Ovis aries: one gene and its partners. The main gene of each other region encodes a partner of the protein of the gene in region 2 in a complex. Links are inferred from orthologs where the notes say so. Each region holds a gene or a part of one and is shown on either strand. Other genes may lie near its edges.

Region 1 (2,594 bases), on a different chromosome or scaffold from region 2:
ATGTACTGAGGCTCGAGTGGAGATGTGTGAACTCACAGACACCAGAGTTGGCTGTCACCAATAACCATGAACTCAGGAGACAGCACAGAGCCCTCTGAGGCCTCAAGCACAGAGGGTTTGGGGCCCGGTTCTGTGTGGTCATATCTCCATAGAGCTGTCTGGGGGGTGTCTGCGGCCCCTGCTGGTCCAGCCGACCCTCAGTCCCCTTACAGGAGCGCGTGCTACACGAGGAGCACCTGCGACAGGTGGAGGCCCAGCTGGACTACCTGGCCCCATTCCTGGCCCAGCTCCCGCCTGGGGAGAAGCTCACGCGCTGGCAGGCCGTGCGCCTCAAGGAGGAGTGCCTCAATGACTTCAAGCAGCGGCTCATTGACAAAGCCAACCTCATCCAGGCCCGGTTTGAAAAGGTGCAGCCGGGGCCCTGGCAGGGGTGGGGACCTCGGCATCCTTCACCGGAAAACTAGCCCAGGGCTGTTGGCTCACCATCTCATAGACTTGTGAGGGACTAACGGGTGGAAGGGGAGGAGGTCAGTGCCTGGTGTGTCCAAAGGACCAAGCTGTCCTTCCTCATCCTTGTTTATTGGGTTGAAGGGTGGATGGAGAGGTGGATGAGTGAACAGAGGGATGGAGGCGTGGATGGCTGGAGCATTATAACAACTCCTATAGTTTTTGACCCATTTCTGTTGGTCAGGTACACACCGTGTAGTTCCCCTGCATTATCTTATTTAATCTTCACAAACGGCTCTATGGTGGTGCGGGTGGGGGTGAGTGCAATGACCCTCATTTTGCAGATGACAGATTGGAAGCTCTGAAAATGTACTTTGACCAGAGTCACATGGCTCTCAGTCCTAACTCCTGCTCTAACCTCGTGGACATGTTGTTGTTTAGTCGCTAAGTTGTGTCTGACTCTTTCTAACCCCATGGACTGTGCAGCCCACCAGGGTCCTCTGTCCATGGGATTTCCCAGGCAAGAATACTAGAGTGGGTTCCCATTTCCTTCTCCAGGCAATCTTCCCCAGTCAGGGGTCGAACCCTCGTCTCCTCTATTGGCAGGCTGATTCTTTACCACTGAGCCACCTGGGAAGTCCTTGTGGACATATAGCCCTCTAACAAGGCCCCAGGTTTTCTGCCTCTGCTTCTCTCGCTTCTATGAGAAGGGGTGACGGGGCTGACCTTGTGGGGCTGTCTGATGCCCTGTGCAGGAGCGGGGTCAGCCTGCAATTTGGGTCAGCCCTCCTGCTCTCCTTCCCCGTGCCCACAGGAGACTCAAGAGCTGCAGAAGAAGCAGCAGTGGTATCAGGAGAATCAGGTGACCCTGACACCTGAGGATGAAGACTTATACCTGAGTTACTGCTCTCAGGCCATGTTCCGCATCCGTATCCTGGAGCAGCGGCTCAGCCGGTGAGGAGGCAGGGGTGGCGGGAGCCAAGAGGACCCACAAGGATGTTGGAGCATCAGCTTTTGTTTTTTTGGTTGTGCTGGGTCCTCATTGCGGTGCATAGGCAGAAGCGGTTGTGGCACGCAGGCTTAACTGCCCTGCGGCATGTGGGCTCTCAGTTCCCTGACCAGAGATCCAACCCATGTCCCCTGCAATGGAAGAAGGATTCTTAACCACTGGACCACCAGGGAAGTCTCAAAGTACCAGCTTTGTAAACCCTCCCTCTGATTTCAGACACAAGGAGCTGGCCCCACTGAAGTACTTGGCTCTGGAGGAAAAGCTCTACAAGGACCCACGCCTGGTGGAGTTACTTAAAGTCTTTGTTTGATGCTCTTCACCCCCTACACCTGTGGTCCTCTGAGTCCCTCCTGAGGCCCCAGCAAAGCTGCCAGAGAAAGAAACCTCCCCCAAAGCCTGGCCCTTGTGTTCCCTATGCCCAGCTAATGACCATCCACTCAGGCACACTACTTTCCTGCTTTTCCTAATTTACCTATAAATAAACACTTGCCATTTGCCACGTGTACCTCATGTTTCACAGACTCCAGCAGCAGCCCTTTTCTCCTTCTCTTCTTTATCTGTGGCCTGGGACCACCTTTACAGTCTTATCTTATTTAATACAGCAACTGCATCCCCATTTCACACATGGCTAATTAGTGGCTGCTAAGAAGAGGCGCTGGAATTCAGTCTCTTGCAGCCTAGCGTCAAGAAGCCAAGTTCTGGGGCACACACCGTAGGCTTGCCATTCCCACTTTGTGAGCTGGGCCACCCCAGCCATGGTGGGGGTGCAAGACCCTCAGTTTGCAGACAAGAAACTGGAAGCTCTGAAATGTACCGGATCCAGAGCTACATGGCTGTCTCAGCCTTAACCCCGGGTCTGACTTCATAAGCATTATATCCCTTTAAACAAGATCCCAGTGGCTTTCTCCCAAGACATGTGTGTGACCCCTGCCTCTGCTCCTCTGACTTCTGTGGGTAGCGGCTCTTCCCAAAGCCCACCCCACCCGAGTCCCAAATGAAGTCGGCCTTTATCGGGTTCCAAATCCAAATTGGTGGTCCCCCTCAAGCTGCAGCGCACTCATCCATTCATCGAGGCCGTGGGGGTAGCACGCACGGGCTCCAAGACTGATTCGGACCCGGAATCAGACTGGGTTTCCCT
Region 2 (3,653 bases):
AGGGTGTTAGATTCTAAGGGAAAAAATAAGAACAGTATTCCCTGCAAGGGAGCTCTTTCCAAAGTTCAGATCAATTACTCCTACTTCTGGTAGAACTTAGTACATTAGTGTGTTTTTCATAATTCCATTCCATGATTCTTTAGCTATAAAAATGGTTGTGGAAGAGGGACAATGCTAACTAAATTTTCATCCCAGTGTTGTTACTGTAAAGCTCAACAATGTGAAGCTTTTAAAGAAGGAAAACATCCACATCAGTACCATAAGGTTTTTAAATATTTATCTTATGCAGGGCAATGGTACTGTAAAAATTTATGAGTTAGAACAACTATAATACTATAAAATGAAAAATTATTTTAAAGAGTCACATTCGTAAAAGTTATATAACTAACATATTCTGAAAGGGGCTTTTAAGCTCTATTAATCAGAATAAGAGTATAAACCTTTACTGTTTATATTTCTATAAAATCATAAGGAGGGCCTCTCTCTGTCATGTCAGAAAATTTTGTGGGTGAAGATCATAAACCAGATTAAAACTGGAGAAGTTTTGTTCTTTTATGTACTGGAATGGTGACCACTACTGAATGTTGTTTATAAATTTGTGTTTTTCTTTCTCTCTTGAGTTTCTATGATGGAAAAGTACCCTTTTTAAAGCCTGACGTAAATATCATTGAGAAAACTTTATCTTGTTAACTGAAGATATTTAGTGAGGTTAGTGTCTCTTCTGTACTATCTGTTAACAAACAATTTAAGAATTAGACTAATTTTAAGTGCACTGAAAGGTTTAGTTCTTGGGTTTCCAGATGTCTTTGCTTTTCATAAATTAATAAGGAAACTAATTTGTTGCAAAATTCCTATAATACCCATTAATGTTTTAAAATCACCCTAAAACTCATAGAATGTTAGTATTAGAAGGGCTCATTTAGTTAAAACTCCACCACAATTCATAAATGAGAAAACTAAGACTGAGAAAGTGAAATGAATTGCTTATTGCACAATTCAACCATAATGATCCTGTAACTTCAAATCCACTTTTAAAACCCTAATAAAAGTTTTGTGAATCCCGTTTATACATATAGCAGTAGTAATAATAATAATAATAATTATAAAATTGTAAGGGGCAATTAGAAGGAAATTTAATTTTCTAGTCACAGTAAATATGGGCTTCTTTTCTATTAGACATGAAAATTAATTTACCCTCTCATTTTTATAGCAAGTTGCATTTATCACAGAATCAGATATAATCTGTACAAATTATATAATTGTGTTAAACTTAATAAATATGTACTTAAAATAAAATGTAATAAAATTTGTACTTAAAAATTGTTTCTGGTTTAAGGGCTTAAGAATTTATGAAAGATTTTGCTCACTATCAAGTTGAGTTTTTTGATAACTCAGTGGTGCTTTGAGGGAGGAATCCATAACATCATGGAAAATGTAATGGCTAGTGCAATAATGCAGCTGGATATTGAGAAAAGCAGACTGCAACATATTTCGCAATGACAAAGTCATTTTAGATAAAAGAAATGTTGACAGGGTCCAGTTGAATTTCCTCCCCCTGGTGTTCAGTTAGCTTTTGTGCTGTTGTGCTTAATCGCTCAGTCCAACTCTTTGCAACCCCATGAACTATAGCCCGCCAGGCTCCTCTGTCCATGGGGATTCTCTAGGCAAGAATACTGGGGTGGGTTGCCAGCTGACAAATACCAATACAAGACAAGAAAACACAATTATTTATCTCCTCAGTATATATATTGTATTTATACTGACTTATCTATGGACTTTTTAGAATAACGCCAACATATCAGGAGAAAAGGATATTTTGTGAGATGTACCGTGAACTATGTCTATTTCACTCCATTAGCTGAGAGTACATATCTTAGATAATTACTGTAGCCCTTTACCTGACTAGAAGGTGCTATTGCCCAAGTTGAATTGAATGGCATAGGTACTGCAAATGATGGAGAAATAAAGAGAAAGCAAAAATTAAGTAATGGTGAATATATATACCATGCTGATGCTTTGTCTTTTTTCATACTGAACTGGCATGATATAGTTTAGAATGGAGAGCTGGTCTGTGGTGTCCTCCAGAACTGCAGAGATCCTCAGCACGTCTAGAATGGATAGCGGCTTCATGATTTCTGGGCTGATTTCTATGACTGCTTCTTTATCTGTTTCTTCCTTTTCTTCTACAGAAGTATTAGGTGGTTCTCCTGTCACTGACACCGTCACTTCAGAAGGCCAATCTTCTGGAGGAAGATTTGAGGCTTCCAGTTGACCTCTAAAGAAAGAAGGAAGGAAAAAATAAGTCAACCATCAGATGTTTAAAATCACTTAAATCCAAAAACACAGGCAGCATGTAGATGGGTTCCTGTAAAGTCCATTTTGCCATATACTCAAGAGAATGAATGGAAGTACTTTGCAGATGATTCTGCTTAATAACCCCCAGTAACATTCCGACTTCCCAGAGAAAAGCAACTCACTGTTTATTAAAGATGTGGACCCTCTGCTATTTGACTATGCTCAACCAATTTGAACTTGAGCCAAATACACTTTTTTTCTAGCAACATTTTCAGATGCTAACCAAAATTGTCTCATGGTTATGTTAACTGAAAGCTGAGCCTCTCTGTACACCGGGTGCCAAATCAAATCCTGGAGACAGAGTTTGGGGTGGAGAAAAGGATAGCTAGCTTTATTGCTCTACCAGGCAAAGAGGAACCTAAAACCATGTTCTGTCTCAAAAAACCAAGAGTCCCAACCCTAGAGAATTTGATGAGGGTCAAATGTGGGGTCTCTAACAAGATTAGAGTGTGGGCAGAGCTTGCACTTCCTTAATCTCATTTTAGGTGGTGGGTCTTCTAATCTTGATGAGCTTCTCTTGTCCCTTTCATCTTGCCTCTGGTGATTTGGCAAGATGAATTGATTGGGCTTCCCTGATAACTTAGTTACTAAAGAATCCACCTGCAATGTGGGAGACCTGGGTTCTGTCCCTGATTTGGGAAGGTCCCCTGGAGAAGGGAAAGGCTACCCACTCCAGTATTCTGGCCTGGAGAATTCCATGAACTGTATAGTCCATGGGGTTGCAGAGTCAGACAGGACTGGGCTACTTTTCATTTTCACTTTCCCTTGATTAGCTTCCCAGGTGACTCCTGTGGTAAAGAACCCACCTGCCAATGCAGGAGACATAAGAGGTGCTGGTTCGATCCCTGGGTAGGGAAGATCCCCTGGAAAAGGAAATGGCACCCCACTTCAGTATTCTTGCCTGGAGAATCTGTAGGGAACTAGGTTTAAAGAAGGTTGAGAAGTGCTTGCAAACGAGACTCTCAACCAGGGCTGGACATTTTTGCAAACGAGATGTTCTGCCCAGTGTAGGGAACTAGGTTTAAGGAAGATTGAGAAGTGCTTGCTAACGAGACTGTCAACCAGGGCTGAGCATTCTTGCAAATGAGATGTTCAGCTAAAAATCCTATTTGTTCCCATGGGAAAAGAACATTGCTTGCACACAAGGATGTTTCTCTGATTCCTCAAAAGGAACAGACCTTGGGACAAAACGGATTCTAAGTTGATAAGGAAGTTCCCAAAACAAAGTCTTAGCTGCAGTAAATAAGCCAAGGTAAAGGTTATCTCGCCCTGCGCCTGCGCACTGTATAGTCTCTGAA
Region 3 (4,123 bases), on a different chromosome or scaffold from region 2:
AGCTTCCTGTTTGTTTGTTTGTTTTTTGTTTTGTTTTGCTTTGTTGCTTATTTAGAAGCTCATTTATTTATTAGCAAATAGTTATTCAGGACCTACCACACATTAGGTCTTGAAGATACGGAGGTAAGTAATTCAAACAGTTATATTCAAGCTTGCTTTCATTCTAAACATCAGCCAAACTAAGAGAGACTGTGTTTTGCTCGTGAGAGACATGTGGGCAGTGGGGAGTAAGAACTGTCTTTAGAGAGACCATTGAGAGAGGGAGGTGCAGTGAGAAAGTTAGGGCTTCTTCATTTATAACTAAAAGGTTAAGATTGGGTATTTTTTGCTATCCTGAACCTTCTGTTGCAAGTAGTAGAAGAGTCAGTGGGGGAAGACAGTATGAGAGCTTAAATTGCAGTTTTCTAAAGAAAGACCATTCTAACTCCACCCCTTCAGGCTGGACTACATCAGTGTGATCCTCTGAGAGAAAGTGCTGTGAGGGCAGGGTGTGCTGTGTGTGCGTGCTAACTCGGTTAGTGCTTGACTCTTTGTGACCCCATGGAATGGGGCTATCCAGGCTCCTCTGCCCATGGGATTCTTCAGGCAAGATTACAGAGTGAGTTGCCATGCCCTCCTCCAAGGGATCTTCCCGACCCAGGGATGGAGCCCACATCTTTTAAGTCTCCTGCATTGGCGGGCGGGTTCTTTACCACTAGGGCCACCTGGGAAGCCTACCTAACTGCTCCTGCAGGCCCTTCACTTCTTCCTCCAGCTTCCTGGTGCGACTCTGCATCGCCTCCTGCAGGCTCCGGCACTGACGACTCATCTCTGGCAGAGCCGTGGGTGGCCAGGGACCCAGATGGGGAGAGAGCAGTGGAGAAAGGACAGAAGTTGTGGGTGGGGAGGGCTCTGCTTGGTCCAGTGGACAAGTGCATAAAGGTCTGTTGAGGGCCTTCCCTGGCAGTCCAGTGGTTAAGACTTCACCTACCAATGCAGGGGACGCGGATTTGATCCCTGATCTGGAAGCTAAGATCCCATATTCCTCAGAGCCAAAAAACCAAAGCATAAAACAGAAGCAATATTGTAACAAATCCAATAAAGACTTTAAAAATGGTCCACATTAAAAAAAAAAAAATCTTAAAAAAAAAAAGTCTTCTGGATTCTTGTGGTGATCTGAGAAGGTAGGGACAGAGCTAGGAAATAAGACACCCATCCGCTATGGTAGCTCAGTATGTGAATTCAGGCCCTCCTTCCCACCCACTCCCACGGGAGGAGTGAGATAAAGGCTAGGGCTGCGTTTCATAGTCCACGGGACATCAAGCACAAAGCACTGCATGTCACGGAAGGTTCCTGCCCAAGACCACAGAAGGCCCCCTCAGGATTCCTGTGGGTGCAGGGAGGGCTGAGGCTAGGTATGGCGGTTCGAAGTCCTCCTTGTCTCCCTTTCTAGCATCCTTGGGCCCTCCCAGTTGTCCTCTTCCGGGCCCCTGTCTCCCGCCCACCTGCTCGATCAACCTCACACCTGCATATATGGCCTTCCCTTCGCTCCGGGCCCCCTCCAGTTCAGCCTCCAGGTCTTTGATCCTCTGCTTCAGCTGGTCTTCCGAAGCCTTGGCTCGGCGGGCTTCATCCCTCTGCAGAGCTGTGAACAGTCCAGAGCAGCCCTCTGCACTGGTTGGGGGCTCCACTCAATCAATCAGCCCCCATGGCCTTGATGGACTCTGTCCACCTTCAGAAACCTGGCGGCAGCCTGCCAGTCTCTCATCGTCATTCTGTTTCCCTTCCCCGCCTCAGAATCCTACAGACTCTGTTACTAAGAGGGAAAAACTCCCTCTGTGTTCCAGCTATAAAAGTTAGCTTTCTTTATCAACCCTCACGGCCCACCCTGTCCTCATGACCCCAGCTCTTGACAATCTTTTCCCATTAGGGGATGGTTAGAGATCAGCTCAGCCCTCCACCATTGTTCCAAAACTTTAAGCTCCCAGGGATACACAAATGCCCACTGTCTCTGTTGCCGAACTTCTACCCTTCTTACCCAAGCGGTCTTGGAGCACCTCCTTTTCCAGCAGTGCCAGCCTGTGCATGGATTCAGCCTCCACATCTGCCCTGGCAAGACAGCAGACCCTCAGCTTGTCAGGATCTCAGCCTTCCCTACCCTCCTCCCACCCTCCTCCCATACCCTGGACTTCTCTTTTTTTTGTGGGAGATACAAGGACCATTAAATGAGGGATCTCTGATAGCAAAGCCTAATGAGTTCACTACCCAGCTCACAGTAGGTATTTGAAAGATTGTAATGAATATACAAGGAAGGCACACAGCCAGAAGGGATTCATGGGTGCTGATTTTCCCATGTTCCCAGCTCCATGGCACCCGAATATGGATATAAAGGGGGAAGGCCAAGACAGCTCCATCTTGTCACGCAGAGGGATGAATTCTCTCTGGAGGTCTCTGAGCCAGAACAAGGAGAGGCTGGGAGGCACCCACCTCCACCCAGTCTGACTCACCAGCACCTGCATTTCTTTTCTTCTTCTGGGCCCCAGCTTTTGTCCCTTTTTCTTTGGTCTTAGGTGGCATCTCCTTCCTGTCCTGGAGGGAGGGAGGGGGCTCATATTTAGGTCTGGACATGGAGACACTCTCCTGACTCCCTAGACGGAACCAGGAGTCCCAGGAGAATTAGTGCTCTCATCTCCAAGTCTGTCTCTTACACTTTCCAGAAGCTTCAGTTCTTGGTTTCCTTGGAAACTTAGGCAAGGCTGGGGCCAGGGGGAAGGATGAACCCATTTCTCTCTACCAGTCAAGCTCTAAGTACAGAAATCATTCCTCTCAACCCTCTTTCAGAGAAAATAAAGCTCAGTACCTGGCCCCTTCTCTCTTCCCATCATCCTTACCCTGCCTCTTCCTTCCTCCAAGACCCTCACTTGTCTCTGTTGTATCTCCCTGTGGCGTGACCCACTTTCCAGGAGGGGCAGAGAAAAGGCCCAACCAGCTAGGAGCCGGAGGAGGAGATTGTGTTCTGGGACCCAATCCAGAGTGGCAAATTTCATTTGGGGGTGGGACTGAGAACTGGAAGGTTGGGCTTCTGGAGGCTGCACGTTGTCCAGGCAACTGGGAAACATGGAGCTGTTAGGAAGGTACATGCATGCTTGCTCAGTCGTTATAATTGTGTCTGGTAGAAGGGGCTAAATACAATGCTTAAAATACCAAGGTCTCAGAGGGCCAATACTCTTCTTGTCCCCAGATCCTAAGTGTAGTTTGAGGAGAGAGGGCTTTGGAACTGATTAAATATGATTCACTTCTATGTAGCACTGCCTGCAATTTGGACACTTACAAATTATAGATTTACACATCCAAAATAATGCTATTGCGCTGATACAGAGGAAAAGAACTCACGGTAGCCATTTGGGGTGATTTACATTTCCCAAAGTCTCATCAACAAAATGACATTATTAAATAGGCTTAAAATTGAAGATTTCAGGAAGGTATTCTACGGTGAATGAGGGAAAGAAATTCAGGAGATGGTGGTTGAGAGAGTTTCCTATTTCAGATAAATGAGACACAGAGGAGAGTTCGACCTAGGACCTCAAGGTGCTGTGCTAAGTCACCTCAGTCGTGTTCGACTCTTGCAACCTCTTGTGACCCCATGGACTGTAGCCCTCCAGGCTCCTCTGTCCATTGGATTCTCCAGATAAGAATACTGGAGTGGGTTGCGATGCCCTTCTATCCTGACATAGATGCAAATCAAGAAGAAAGGGTACTGGTTAGAGACAGGAGCTTTTGAGTTCTCATCCTTACCCTTCTCCAGATATGTAAATTTGGGTAAGTCATTTTCCTTGCTCAGCCTCAGTTTCCTAAATCTTTGATTTTGTAAATCTTGAAAGGCTTGGATTTTCACCAGGTATTTACAGGACTATCTTCTTTTATGGTGACTTAATATATTTCCTCTTTCTCCCTATTCCTGTCTGTGGTTGATTTTCAGACAGGTGCTGAGAAAATAACCAGCTTGGTTCCCTGTGGCATTGAGTTGATTTGGGCTCCCTCTAGTGGATTTTCTTGACCTTCTAGTAAGTCTCCTGAATTTTTCTATTTAAATTATTTATGGAGCAATGTTGGGGGCACCCCTCATTTAGGGGTGCTGCCTAGC

The links.
Region 1: IQCG (region 2) and DRC7 share a complex: the UniProt entries of both Homo sapiens proteins name them as parts of the nexin-dynein regulatory complex. The link is inferred for Ovis aries from reciprocal best matches to the Homo sapiens genes DRC9 and DRC7.
Region 3: IQCG (region 2) and CCDC153 share a complex: the UniProt entries of both Homo sapiens proteins name them as parts of the nexin-dynein regulatory complex. The link is inferred for Ovis aries from reciprocal best matches to the Homo sapiens genes DRC9 and DRC12.

Annotation. Positions count from the first base shown.
Region 1 is NC_056067.1:25,289,696-25,292,289, forward strand, and holds the end of DRC7 (dynein regulatory complex subunit 7), read left to right. Parts: intron 1-212; coding exon 213-407; intron 408-1,261; coding exon 1,262-1,401; intron 1,402-1,672; coding exon 1,673-1,766; 3' UTR 1,767-1,961; downstream 1,962-2,594. UniProt on the Homo sapiens protein: Component of the nexin-dynein regulatory complex (N-DRC) a key regulator of ciliary/flagellar motility which maintains the alignment and integrity of the distal axoneme and regulates microtubule sliding in motile axonemes.
Region 2 is NC_056054.1:191,034,514-191,038,166, reverse strand, and holds part of IQCG (dynein regulatory complex protein 9), read right to left. Parts: intron 2,276-3,653; coding exon 2,005-2,275; intron 1-2,004. UniProt on the Homo sapiens protein: Component of the nexin-dynein regulatory complex (N-DRC), a key regulator of ciliary/flagellar motility which maintains the alignment and integrity of the distal axoneme and regulates microtubule sliding in motile axonemes.
Region 3 is NC_056068.1:29,498,761-29,502,883, forward strand, and holds the start of CCDC153 (coiled-coil domain-containing protein 153), read right to left. Parts: upstream 2,912-4,123; 5' UTR 2,688-2,911; intron 2,569-2,687; 5' UTR 2,557-2,568; coding exon 2,487-2,556; exon of another isoform or gene 2,202-2,486; coding exon of another isoform or gene 2,162-2,201; intron 2,089-2,161; exon of another isoform or gene 2,084-2,088; coding exon 2,018-2,083; intron 1,649-2,017; coding exon 1,505-1,648; intron 967-1,504; coding exon 718-966; intron 1-717. UniProt on the Homo sapiens protein: Component of the nexin-dynein regulatory complex (N-DRC), a key regulator of ciliary/flagellar motility which maintains the alignment and integrity of the distal axoneme and regulates microtubule sliding in motile axonemes.